2 linked regions of the Pelodiscus sinensis genome follow. The protein of the gene in region 1 interacts with the protein of each later gene in a biochemical or structural test. Links are inferred from orthologs where the notes say so. Each region holds a gene or a part of one and is shown on either strand. Other genes may lie near its edges.

Region 1 (6,885 bases):
AATTGGGTGAAGGCTTAAAGATTTTACCAAGCAAATATTAGGGTAAAATACAATGCTTAATATTAGAGTAAAGTACAATGAAGCAAATTTAGAATAAAGTACAATACTTATTAAGAAAATACAATCCTCATTAAGCCTAAGCAAACCTCAGAATAAAATGCAATGCCTATGTGCCGGGAACCCCCTGAAGAAGGACAGCAGACAGACCCCAGTGGCCAGTACATAGCACCTTCTGTGGCTTTGGTCTACGCCGAGGTTCTAATGTTAGGAATATCCCTGGTACTTATATACTGTTGGATCTACAGGAATTACCCCTGTTGTTTTGAGAACCTAACAAGATCGTTGATACATTGCATATTTTCCCCACATCCAATAATTAGCTTTTTGATACTTTGTATATTTTCCTAGGCCAAGTAAGTAGCATTATCAGGTTGGAAACATTCAGCACAGATATCTATGTGACCTTCCCAAGCCCTCCTGCACTCCCATACCAGGTGCATGGCCTTGGGAGCTGTCCCAAAACTTGTTGAAAGTCAACAGTGCATTCCTACACTGTACCATCTTGAGCAAACAGATAACTCTTTGGCTATGTCTACACTGGCGGCTTTTTGCGTAGTAACATCTTAGGCAAGGGTTCTTATGCAAGAAGTCTTGCGCAAGAAAACGTCCACACTGCCATGTGCGAGCTATGCTTTTGCACAAGAGCGCCCATGGCAGTGTGGACACTCTCTTGAGCAAGAAAGCTCCGATGGCCATTTTAGCCATAGAGCTTTCTTGCGCAAGAAACCGCTGTCGAGTGTCCACACTGCCCTCTTGCACAAGAGCCCCTGCGCAAGAGGGCTTATACCTGTTAAAAAAGAGCGTAGTTCTTGCACAAGAAGGCCTCTCTTACCACGCTGTACTGTAAATCTTCTTCCGCAAGAGAGGGTGGGCAGTGTGGATGCTCTGCGGCTTCTTGCACAAGAACAACTGTTCTTGTGCAAAAACCTGCCAGTGTAGACATAGCCTTTGAGAATAACAAAAGAATAATAAGAAGCAAAAAGCATAAATGGCTGCCTAAAGCATCCAGGCCTGTAAGAAAATGCAGGCACGAAAGGAAGGATTGTGGTACACCACCTAATTTCCTCAACCTTACAATCATATTCCCCCCCCCCCCCCCCCAGCGTCAGATTATGCTCTTGACATAAAAGGACAGAAGTGGTTCATTACCTGCAGATCTCCCCTGAACTCTATGGAGATTAACATCAATACTCCACCACTGGGGACTCTCTGCAGGTTCAGGGCCCATATCAGGGAAAGGAAGCTGAGAATGTGTAAATGCATGGGTCACACCTGATCCCTGGAAACACTCAGGCTGTGTCTAGACTGGCATGATTTTCCGCAAATGCTTTTAACAGAAAAGTTTTCCGTTAAAAGCATTTGAGGAAAAGAGCATCTAGATTGGCACGGACGCTTTTCCGCAAAAGCACTTTTTGTGGAAAAGCTTCCATGCCAATCTAGACGCGCTTTTTCGTGATCGGGGCTTTTTTGCGCAAAACAAATCTGAGCTGTCTACACTGGCCCTTTCGTCAAAAACTTTGCGCAAAAGGACTTTTGCCCGAATGGGCGCAGCATAGTATTTCTGCAAGAAACACTGATTTCATACAGTAGCAAGTCAGTGTTCTTGCAGACATTCAAGCAGCCAGTATAGACAACTGGCAAGTTTTTCCGCAAAAGCAGCTGCTTTGTGTGTATCTACACAGCAAAGTTATTTCGGAATAACTATGTGAGTGTCTACACAGCAATTCTATTTCAAAATTATTTTGAAATATTCTGACTTCTGTAAAACTCATTCTACGAAGAATAACGCCTATTCTGAAATAGCTATATTGCAATAATGTGTGTGTAAATGCTCCAATGCTGCAATTATGAAATAGGCCCTTATCAGGGCCATTCTAAGTTATTCCTTCTGGAGCTCTAAATTGAGATAGCACGTCTACATTAGGGAAGCCTGCCTTGGACTAATTTTTAGGCTTCCCTGCGGTATAGACATGCTATTTTGAAATAAGCTATTTTGGAATAACTATTCCAGAACAGCTTATTCTGAAATAACTGTGCAATGTAGATGTAGCCTCGCAGTCCATCCAGCTTGCTGTCTGGTGGTGATGAGTTTCACAGAGACTGAATTAACTGTTTTTGCGGTTCCCTCAACAGTGAAGAATTTCCCCTTTCAGAGGAATCAGGAACTAGCTAGTTGCCATTGGGCCCATGCTGGGAAAGGGGTGTTGATTCCCTAAAGCAGTGGTCACCAACCAGTAAATCTTAGCTCTTGGAGCCTCTGACAGGTGATCCTGCCTGGTTTGGCCAAGAGGCTATCAAGTGCCAGCACTTCAGCTGCCCCTCCTCACACTGCTGCTCATCTCCTGCCTCTCCCACTGGGGAGCCACCTACTTTCTGGGCAGGGCAGGGGAGGAAGATGAGGAGTGATGATATCAGGGTGTCCCCTCTCACTCTGTATCCTTTCTCCACAAAGCAAAGAGTGGGCACAACAAGACTTGGGATGGAATTTGCTGGCTATTTTAAGGAGTAGGTCACTACATCACCAATCAGGAGCCACCTAGGTATGCAAAGCCCAGGTGGAGCCCACATCCTGAACTCCTACATTGGTCATGAACCTTCCCCTGCACCCCAAGCACCCCTCAGAGCCTGCACTTAGAACCCCTCCTACATCCCAGCTGCCTGCTCCAAGAGTGGCTCCAGATCCCTTAATCCAAGACCAGAACCTGCACCCCAACTCTCTGCCCCAGCCTGATGAAAGTGAGTGAGGATGGGCAAGAGAGGGAGGATGGAGCAGGGGTGGGGCCTCAGAGAATGGAGGGGGCCTATTTGAAATCATGGGATGGTGGCTCTAAAAGCCCCTCCCCAACCTTATGGGAGGGACACTGGACCCATGTCCAACTGATTGCTTGGGACAAATAATGACTAAAGGATCAAGAAGTGCGGGCTAGAGGTTCAAAATAAGGGAGCCGGATGGGGACACCGAGCAGAGAACCCCGGACAGCGCCCACTGCTCCTCAAAGCTGTCGATGGAGCCAGTGGACGCCGCCCAGAGGAACTCTGCCCGGATTCATGACACGAGGGAGGAGCAGAAATAGGCCCCACAGTTGCAGAGAACCCCCTTGTCTAACTTCCTCCTCCTGCTATTATAAATGGCAGCTTTCGCTAAGGCCAGGAGGAGGTTGACGAGGAGGTCTCGCGACTTTGTGGGGCCACGGATTGGGTGTGCGTAAATAAAGGGGGAGAAAGTTGGGGCAAGAGTAATTATATTTGAGGTAAATCTTGGATTGCACTTAAATTCAAATGATTTTTCTGCTTAAAAAGGTTGGAGACCCCTGCCCTAAAGCAACTCATGTAGGCACAGAGCCATGAAGTGGATCCTGGACAGAGGGGGACTGGTAAGGTGTGGGAGGAGCTCTGTGGAAAACAGTGGAATTTTCCTCCACCTGTGAGTTTTACCCCCTGGAGCCAGAGAGTTTTATCTCTGGCCCGGTTATATCAGCCCAGCTGTAAGCAGGGGCTAGATCTGAGGGTACAAACAGCCTCACCCAGCTCTAACTTCAAGGGACACGTTCTAGCGCCTTGAAGCGAGCAGGCGGCCAAGGAACGGGGGGGGGGAGGGGAGCGCTGTGCGGCTAGAGGCCAGCAGACCACACAGCCCCGGCCTGCAGCCACTCTAAGCAGCCCCGCTGGCTGGGACTGGCAGCTGCAGCAGCAACGCGGCCAAGGGGCGGGGCTCCGCTCTGCCCCCGCCCCCTACACTGCGCGCCCGAGCAGGCGCTGCCATGTGACACCTTCCCGCGCGCCCCAAGCTGCGTCCTTCTTCCCATCGCTCCAGCGCAGCGAGCCGGGACACGCGCCGAGCCCGGCCAGGGGGCTCAGTCGAGCGCTGCACAGCGGCTCGAGCGGCGGGGCTGAGCCCGGGTGGATTGCGTGGCGCTCGGCTAGCGCGGCGGGTGCCTGCGCTCGCTGCCGCCGGCTCCCGCGCGTCCCCTGCCCGCGCTCGCCATGGCGGAGCCGGCGGACAAGCTGTACCGGGCCGAGTACGCCAAGAGCGGCCGCGCCTCGTGCAAGAAATGCGGGGAGAGCATCGCCAAGGACTCGCTGCGCCTGGCCATCATGGTGCAGGTACCGCGTGGGCCGGGAGCCGGCACCGCCCCCAAGCTCCCTGCGGCTAGGCCGGCAGCGGCCACGTGCCGCCTTCCCCTCGGCGCCCCGGGCCGAGCGTCCGCCCCATTCATCCCTCTCGGTTTGCAGCGCGGCTCGCGCTCCGCGGCTGCAGCCTCTGGGGCTCGCGCGGCGCGGCGGGCTGGGGTCAGCCGGACTTGAGCGGGGTTCCGAGTCGCGAGCGGGGGGCTGCTCTTGCAAGCTGGAGGGGATCGCTGTTTCCGCAGAAGATGGTGTGATCGGTGCACATCAGTCAGAAGCAGTGACGTGATCTCCGGCTGCCCTGACTAGGGGGCATTCGAAGTCCATACCTTGAAATGAGCGAGAATGCGAGATGAAAGGCAGAAGGCAGAGTCATCATTCCCAAGTCATTGCGTTGTCTCAGCTTGCTTGATGCTGTGGTTAGATGATGGCAGAAAGCAAAGAAAACCTTAAGTTATGTGCTAGATGGCTTCCATTTTAATTTCTCTCTATTTGGTTGACAGTAATTAGTTGTGTAATTTTTAGCTGATTTTCACAGGAAGGCATGATTTATTTAGAGTTGACGAAAAGCAGTATAAATTCTATCCCTGATAGAATCTCAGTCCATGTGATACTGGACTCTAACTACATTCACTTCCTCACTGGGGAATATTGGCCATTTACTCCTCAGTATATTTTTTGTGAATTGCTTATCATTTGTAAAGTACATTGGAATGCTCTGTTTACCTCAAACAAAATACAGGACTATGTAGCACTTTAAAGACTAACAAGATGGTTTATTAGACGATGAGCTTTTGTGGGCCAGACCCACTTCCTCAGATCAAATAGTGGAAGAAAATAGTCTCGACCATATATACCCAAGGATACAATTTAAAAAAAACTGTTTACCTCAGTCTGCAGCTTTGAGACCTGTATGTGGAGACAAATAATTGCAGATGGGGGAGGGCTGGAGGTCAAAATGAGGCATTTAGTTGAAGTGTGAACTCAATTTCCATTATTGCTGAGGAACTTTGAAGGCATTTTCCTGGGCAGTTTAAGATGTGTTTTGGACAATGCTATTTGTGTTTGATACACAAATCTTCCTTCCTGTCTGTAGATGAGTTTAACCTATTTTTAGTGGCAAGTAGCATTCCCTCTCTCCCCTTTTTTGATCTTTGCATTTGTAAAGAAATCTGCTTTACCACCTTATCAGTGAATTCTCACACCTTGCTCTATTTTTCCCTCTGGTTAGATGCATTTGTTGCCAGGTCTGACAAGACAGCAAAGCTGCACAGAAGGCTAGTGTACACAAACCTAGGAATTTACCAAGGTTAAAACGTGGTTATGATTACTCTTTTTCTTTTCTTTTTTTTTCAGTCCACACAGGAACACGTGTGTCATAATTATAGTTTGGCCACATCCATGATTAAACCTGGTGCAGAGGCATTCTTCTGTCCTTGGAATTAATACCTTCTTAAACGACATATCAGTTAATTGATTAAACAGGATTTTACATAACCCTAGGCTTGCCTGCGGTAGTGATCACTTACATCCCTAATGGGGAAGAGTCACTACATGTCTAGTCACTTCTCCCCTCTCCCTCCCTCCCCCACCATGCGCAGTGGGGAAATGGTGCAAGTGGGGATCGAAACAGTCCATGCTCGCGAGGGTTCCCAGCTGTGCCTCTGCCTTTGAAATGCACAAGTCGCAGGCGGCCCCCCTTATCGACTAATCAAGTAGTCGAAATTCCATCGACTACTCGATTAGCTATTGAAATTTAACATCTACCACAGACCCTTTATGGAGAGAGGTCTAATTTCTGTTGCTGTTGCCTTTGCTTCAGCCAAATAAGATAACATTCCAGAGTCTTGAGCACTTCACAAATTCCTCAATAGGGGACTTTTCAGATAATGTCCAAGTGCCAACTATTCCTAGTGTGGTTGTGTTCTGATCCCTACATCTCTATGAGCAGGGCTCGCCGAACTGCGGCGAGCCCTGCTTGCCAGCCGCGCTGTCCGGCTATCTGCACATGCGCAGATTGCCCGAACCCAGCTCTTCTGGGTTGGCGAGTAGATTGCATTATTTGTCTAGCTCTGCCTATGAGTGAAAGTAGCACAGGAGGGAGATCTCTTCTCGTTAGGGTAGGGCTTGAAAAATCTGTCCAACTCCCACTGAGTTTATTCACCACTGGCTTGCAGCCTTCTGCTTCCCAAGAGGCACTGATACTCTTCTAGTTGTTTCCATTAAATATAGGAGGTTCCCCCATGAATGGCAAAGGTTTCCTGCATGCCTTTTTTTCCCCTCCCAAAATAGAGCTGTTTGTTGTAACGTAGGTATTTAGCTCTGTAAAACACAAAACCTCAATTTATTAAACTGCCTTTATATTTTTCTTCCTTCCTTTTCTCTTCACTTCTTTTCTTTCTACCACAATATAGCTAGGTATCTTTTCCTCCATCTGTTTTGGTGTCTGCTCTGTTTCCTCTCTTGCCCTCACTTTATTCACTTTACTCTTGCCATTCCTTTCTACCTTATTCTCTGCTTCCCAATCAGACCCGTACACAGAGGGGGTGCAGAGCGTGCGACTACACCTCCCCCTGCCAAGGCTGGGGTGGCATCTAGCCAGCTGGGGGAAGACTGGGGTTGATCTCCCCCCACCATGGGGGAAGAGGCAGGCCAGCCATGGGAGTAGGGCAGCCACCAGCTCCTTCTATGGCTTGCACC
Region 2 (7,229 bases), about 24 Mb from region 1:
ACCCCTTTTTCTTCCTCCCCCCTTGCTGCCACTATCAGATAAAGGGGGGGAGAGGGGAGAGAGCGACTAATCGACTATCCTGTTGACTATCCGATAATAGTTGACTAGTCCTTCACATCCTAGTTTAGGTTGGACATTAGGAAAAACATCCTGTCGGGTGGTTAAACACTGGAATAAATTGCCTAGGGAGCTTGTGGAATCTTCATCACTGGAGATATTTAAGAGCAGGTTGGATAGACATCTATCAGGGATGATCTAGACACTGCTTGGTCCTGCTGTGACCAAGGAGACTGGACTCGATGACCTCTTGAGGTACTTTCCAGTTCTAGGATTCTACGATTGAATTAATCTGCCATTTTGTTGTCCAGTCACACAATTTTGTGAGATCCCATTGTTGCTCTCTGCAGTCTGTTTTGGATGTATCTTGAGTAGTTTTGTATTGTCAGCAAATTTGGTCACCCTTTCTCCAGATCATTTATAAATACGTCAAACAGTATTGGACTCAGTTCAGATCCTTTGGGGATATCATTTTCTCTCTCTCCCAGAAGGGCATAAGGATCTTGTGCAAAAAGGTGTATTTGCGCAAAAAGGAAACGTCCACACTGGGGTTTTTTTTGTTTTGTTTTTTTTGCACAAAAACAGCTTGAATAGATTATGCAAATGAAGCACAACAAAAGGCTAATCTGTGCTTCATTTGCATACCCTCTGCCAGCAAAGCTGGCAATGGAGACAAAACCTAGGTTACATAATACAGTAATTCTGTTATTCCATAATTAAGTTCCTTCTGAACTGTTGGCTGAATATCATATGCTCCTGGTGACTTATCAGCTGTGAAGACCTATGCAAAGAATTCATTTAGCTTTTCTGCAATGGCCTTATCATTTTTGAACTCTCCTTTAGCATTTTGAATATCCAGTGGCTCCATTGGTTGTTTAGCAGGCTTCCTGCTTTTGATGTATTTAAATGTTTTTGCTGTTACTCAGAATCTTTGGATAGCTGTGTTTCAATCTTTCAGCTTTTCTATATTTCAGCCTTCCTATATTTAACAGCTCACTTGTGAGAATTTGCTACTGTTTTTCTTGATAGGATTTCACTCAACATATTTAGCAGCGTGGCTGGGGCCAGCCTGTTGCTGTGCTGCAGGGGTTGGCAGTCCAGTTAATCGGTTACTCAGTAAGCCTAATGCTTACCAGGTAACTGGTTAACCTTTTACATCCCTGGCATCCATTTTCCATGGATACAGATACAAACTTGCAGGGTTTTCTAAATACAAAATTTGAATCCACAACAGCATCTGCAAAAATGAGCTGTGGATATCCGCATCCAGATCCATGGTTGCTGATACCTGCATATATAAAGTAGATATTCTCAGATTTGCAAGGCTCTAACCAGGTGTGTAAAACTGCCCTCCTTTCTCAATATGTTCCATCCAAGAACTGGTTGATCTATTATCAGGGAACAGAGGATAATTAATTTTTCTTTATGGTACTGTTTTGCCATCTCTTCAGAGCTTCAGAGACTGCCATTTGTGATGGTTGTTGTGACACTGTCACTAAGGCCTGGTCAATATTACAAGGTTAGGTACTTAGGTTGATGCAAGATGACTTGCATTCACCTAATTATGTCAATGTCTACATTAGAATACTGCTTCTGCCAAAATAAGTCACTTTCTATGCCAACATAACTCTAACTCCACGAGGGGTATAGTTCTTTTGTTAATGCAGTTAAGACACTGATTAACTGACACAGCTGGTTGGCCATCAACCCCAGTGGGAGCTGTTAGTTGTAGTCCTCTTTTCTGGTGATGATAGCTACACTTGTCAGCTGTAGATGCTGGCTTGTAGCTGAGGCCATTGTACCCTGCTGACAGTGGGCCAGCAATGAGTGCCATGCCAGTGTTACCATAGGCTGGTGGGCTTCAGCTGTGTCCTATTATGTACCACTTCAGTTGGTGAAGCACTCCTGGTGGGGATATGCACCACCAACCAAAGGAGCAAGTGTGCATGTGAACCACTGGTGGCTTGTACACTGACTTAAGTCAACTTAATTTTGTAATGTAGACAAGCCCTGAGAGCTCACAAGCTTCAGGTATTAGATAACTTTAATTTTTCTCTTCACTGTGGATGGATCAGAAATACTGATAAGGAGAGAACCTTACATCTTAATACTGATTCCCAAAGCTATCCAGGTTCCCAAAGCTAGACAGTCCATGGCCTTTAATTTACCTTCCATGAATATCCATTTCCTCGATCAAAGTCTATCTCTCGCTGACAGACAGCTCTTACAGTTAAACAGTGATGTTTCCACAAATGGTCACTGTTCTCAATTGTGCGATTCCAGCTCTTGCAAGTCATTGCAGCTTTGCATAAGCTCTGAACGTCCAGTTCATTGAAAATTTTCAAGGTGACTTCTGGAGGCAGCAGCTCCACAAAGTCCTCCTGACTTTCTTCTTTCTTTTTGGATGATGGAAGGATGGTCCGTTCTTTACATGAAGTACCTTCCTGTTTGTTCTTCTTTGAGGTTTTCTGCATAATTTATGGTCTCCACACATCCACCATGAGTAATCCTAGGGGTGAAGAAGTGCAGGGGTCACTTATATTATACATGCAGTTAACTTTTATCAAGATAACTCTAATGCTTAAGGATATATGTTCAAGTGCTGCAAGCATAGGGTGACAATCTGTCCTGTTTTTACTGGGACAGTCCCTTATTTAAGGCCGCCTCCTTCAGTCCTGACTTTGTAGGAAAAAAAAAAAGTGGGCACATTATCCCAAATTTCCCTTGCAGGGGGTGGGAGAAGGAACTGACAGCACTCAGGGCCTGGTATCTTCCCCTTCCTTCCCCATTCTGCATGTTGTGGGGGTGAACTTCATCGCTGCAGTGGGGCAGGGTGGATGGGGAGCCACCAGCAGTCAGAGCTTTGGCTGCTGGAATCCTGAGCACTGGTGGCTTCTGTCCCACCCCTGCAACACTGACGCCTTGAGTGCCAGTGGCTTCCCCCAGCTATGGGGCTGAAGCCCCTAGCGCAAGTGGTTGCTCCTCCCTCCCCCGCCCACTACAAGGCTGAAGCTCTGCATGCTGGTGGTGGTCCTCCCCTCCCCCTCCTACAAGGTTGCAGTTCTGAGTGCCAGCAGCCCCCCTTCCCACTCCGCTGCAGGGCTGAAGCACTGAGTGTTGGTGGCTGCACCCACACAGTGAGGCTGAAACTCTGAGCACTGGCAGCCCCCTCCCCGGTGTCCCATATTCTACATAGGCAGGAGCGGCCTAGGCGAACCTTGCAAATCGGTGCCCCCACCTCCAAACCCCTCAACGATATTGTGTCACCATTTGGTACCCCATTTAACTTGGCGCCCTAGGCGATTTGCCTATATGGATAGGCCGCCCCTGCACATAGGGAAATGTGTGGAGCAAGTACAGAGTGCCTTGTGCACCCTACCTGGCCCTGTGTTGCTGCCCCTAGGTGCGACCCGAATGGGCTTGTTCACAGCCTATTGGGCAGTGGCTTGCTAAAGAAAATAGGCCCCACGCCTGTGGGCACTCTGGGACTTGTAGCTTCCATCTGGCGACACTGAAGCCAGCCGGGGGGGCATGGAGGAGAGCTGGAGACGACCACTGCTGGGATGCTGGGTGAGGTGGGGATTTGAACACTGGTGCCTATGGGCAGCTCCATGGCAATCACTCGAGCCGTGGGCGATGCCCTGTGCCCAGGCTAGGCTGCCCCCGCCCCCATGAGCTGGGCGAGGAGTAGACGCGGGTGGGGAATGGGGGAAGCCCCCCGCCCCCAGGGGCCGAGTGTGATGCGAGGGGCTCGTTTTATTGGCTGCTCACGTGTGGGTGGCCCTGGCGGCTTTTCTGTGGGCCGGTGGCTCCCGCCCGCGTTAGACGGTGCCCTGCGTCCGCTGCCAGCCTGGGCCCTGCTGCGGAACTCCCCAGCCCAGGGCGTGGCTGGAGCCAGCGCTCCCCGCAGCAGCCCCCGGCCCAGGCGCGTGGAGCAGTCCGCCCCCTACCTGGCCCCGCGCCGTTGCCCGCCGTTGCCGGTTTTAACGTCTCCCCCATTCGAACGGGCTTGTTTCCACCCTTCCCAAGGTAAACAGGACCCCGCGCATGCGCCGCAGCGGGGCACGCCGGGACTTGTAGTTTGCCTGCGGGGACGCTGAAGCGCGGCCGGGCGGCGCGGGGGAGAGTTGGGAACTACCGTTTCCGGGCGGGGCGGCGATCTGAACGCACAGGGCGGTAGCCAGACGCGCCCGCTAGCTGGCCGCCCCAGAGGGAAGCGGAAGGGCGAGAAGCCTCCCGACCTGGCTCAAGAAAAGTGCAAAGGGGCAGCGGGGGCCGCGCCCTGTCCCGCCCGCGGGGCCCATGCCGGGCTTCGAGCTCGCGCCCGCGGACGGGGGCTGCCCGCTGGCGCTGCCGCCCGGCCAGACCGTGCTGGGAAGAGGCCCCCTGTTGGGAGTAAGTCTGGCTCCTCGGGGGGGCTCCCTGTCCCCGCCCCCGCTCCCGCTGCAGCTCCCCTCTCCCCCCGTCTCCGGCCGGGGAGCCGCCTCGGGCTGGGCCAGGCGCTGTGATTCTCCCGTGAGGGAGCGATTATCCCCCTCACATTATCCCGGGGGGGCTTCTGGGGCCGGAAGGGACCATTGGGTCCTCGGACTTCACCCCCTGGCGGGGGAAGGCGGAATCACAGCCCCCCTCCTCTTTGCAAGCCTATCCCCGCTGTAACTGAGATTCCCTTTTAACGTGACTCCGGGAGCTGGGCGTTAAGAGACACTCGAAACATGAGGAGACTGATCCCTCGCACGGGTTGGCAGTGCTGTTTTGCATTGCCCCGTTCTGTAGCAACACCTTTGTCTGGATTCTGCTCCAAATGAGATGAAATGTGGGGTCTAACTACTCCTGGAGACATTCTGTGCCAAGAAATTAAATTCTGTGCGCGTGGGGGGGGCGGGGAACATTTCAGAGCAAAATATTTTAAAGTTCTATAAAATTTTGCAAATTGTATTTGTCAAAACACTACATAATCATGCCAGTTTTGATTATTTTTTGTATTTTTTTAATTTCAAAATACTTGTCACCAAGCATAGGAAAGTTGTGGTAACACCCAAGAGGTTCACTGCCCTGCTCCCCATACCTCTGCCAAAATTTTGATGGTTAAATGGGGTGCTTCCTTTCTGCACCCCTTCCCCTCTCAGGCATCAGATGCCTATGCCAGCAAATATGTCTGATTGTAACAATACATACACTATCTTTTCCTTCCCCCAGGTGTCAAGTATTCAATCATGAATTGTTTCATAGGGGTTTCTCTGCCCCCTTTCCCAGTTGTTTCCCAGACACCCACAGCCCCTTCCCAGATATTTACATCCTCCTCCCTGTTCCCCCGTAGTTCGAGGTCAGGGATCCAGAGGGAGAAACAGCCGGATGCCTCAGTCCAGGCTTGTATAGGGTTGCTTGCATGCCACTATCTCTTTCCCTCAGAATGTCCTGGATATTACAGGTGCCAGGAACTAGGGATATAAAGGGGTAACTGGCTGACTGGTGCTTGGCTAGAGCAGCCCCCCACCCCATCCACAGCACACCACGGGAAAGGGGTGCTTAAGCCTGGCAGTGGTGCAACATGGTGGACTGGATAACCAGTTAAACATATAGCTAAATGGATTAACATATTAAATGAGGTTTTATAGCCCTTCCAGGAATCCTCTAGGTGAGGGGTCTGCAAATATCAGTCTACCAGGTTTAGCTCCTGGTGGGCTCCCACCACTATATTTGCCTACATGGCTGCAGATACTGATGATTGCAGCTCTCACTGTTTGGCCAGGATCAGCCATCTGCAATGGGAGTAAAATCATAGGCTGGTGCCATCATCAACTGCCATGCTGTCAGGGCACTGACTACCTGTGGTAGTACCTGATGCTGCCCTGATATTTCATCCTTAATCCCAGCCTAATGCGGAGGGGAGGCCCTGCCCTAGAGGCAGTTAGTGAGCAACCCTGCCTCACATGCATGCTTCCGCAGTGGTTCTAGTTTCACTGGGCAAGGCCCTGCGTGTTGTTGACCTGGCATGCTGGATTCCTGGCTATCTAGCTGTTCTGATGTGTGGGTGAAATTGGGATGCCTCCTGCATGTCAGCTCACAACGCTTGAATGTGGAATCAGGCTCAGCCTGTTGGGGCAGGAGCTGCTTCTGCAAGTGAGAGCAGGATACACTCACTTTTCAAGCCCACCTGTGGCTTCTCAGTATTGGGCCTACAACCCATCATTGAGAAACAGTGCTTTAGAACACATGAGGGCATTCTCCAGAAAAATCACTATTTCTGAAGCATTGAGTGCACATTTAAAGTGAAACAATGTTCTCAATAGTATACTTCGAAGTATACCTGTAACCATGAGCTGGTAATAGTATTTTAGATGCGACTTAATTTGGCATTGTCCCTTCATAGGTATCTTTAAACAATCTTAATTTTGTAATTATTGAAGTAGGGATTTGTAATTTGGAGTAGGGATGTAAAATTCCAGTTAATCAGTTAACAAGTTAAATGTTAAGTTAGGTTGACCTAATGTTTAACTGGTTAATGACTAAGCATGATCTGAGCTGAGGACTGCTACAGCTTGGCTTGAGCAGCCCACATGGCTGCTGGTCCCTGCCCCTCCCTTCCGCGCCCCTCCCCCTGCTGGAAGTAGGGCTGGGCGCCTGAAGGGGTCCCTCCCTCGCGGGGGCTGGGACGAGAGCAGCCCCTGTCCACAGTGGTCACCTGCAGCAGGTGGGAAGCTACTGCAGCCCCCACCGGTTACTAGTAAGTGGAATCGGTAAGCATTACCCATTTAAGCTGATGCTTACTGGTTAACCTTTCACACATTTAGTTTAGAAGTATGGCTGCAGTGGTGCAACTGTACTGCTTTAACACTGTAGTATAGATGTTTCCTTCATCTGTGGAGGGGTGTTTCTATCATTGCAGGTATTCCATCTCACTGGGTGGCAGTAGCTAGGTCAGTAGAAGAATTCTTAAGTTGGAGTTCTTAGTGTTGCCTGAAATATGGAGTTGAAGGAGTGAATTTTACACCCCTGAGTGAGGTAGTTATGTCAGTCTAAATGTAAAGTGTAGACCAGGGCTTCTACTCAGCTTCACTTATCCATATTAGCACTTAGTGCTTAATCACAATGGTATCTTTCTTTAGTTAGCAAATAGTGTTGAATTCACCAAAAGCTTTTATACGTATTTTGTTAACTGGTTTTAGATT

What was found.
Region 2: the proteins of PARP1 (region 1) and APLF form a complex in vitro, tested with the Homo sapiens proteins (3 studies listed by BioGRID and IntAct, with this or other methods). The link is inferred for Pelodiscus sinensis from reciprocal best matches to the Homo sapiens genes PARP1 and APLF.

The regions. Positions count from the first base shown.
Region 1 is NC_134713.1:157,460,435-157,467,319, reverse strand, and holds the start of PARP1 (poly [ADP-ribose] polymerase 1), read left to right. Parts: upstream 1-3,875; 5' UTR 3,876-4,044; coding exon 4,045-4,164; intron 4,165-6,885. UniProt on the Homo sapiens protein: Poly-ADP-ribosyltransferase that mediates poly-ADP-ribosylation of proteins and plays a key role in DNA repair.
Region 2 is NC_134713.1:181,608,245-181,615,473, reverse strand, and holds the start of APLF (aprataxin and PNK-like factor), read left to right. Parts: upstream 1-4,212; 5' UTR 4,213-4,359; coding exon 4,360-4,452; intron 4,453-7,229. Other genes in the region: FBXO48 (F-box only protein 48), read right to left, coding at 2,226-2,531. UniProt on the Homo sapiens protein: Histone chaperone involved in single-strand and double-strand DNA break repair.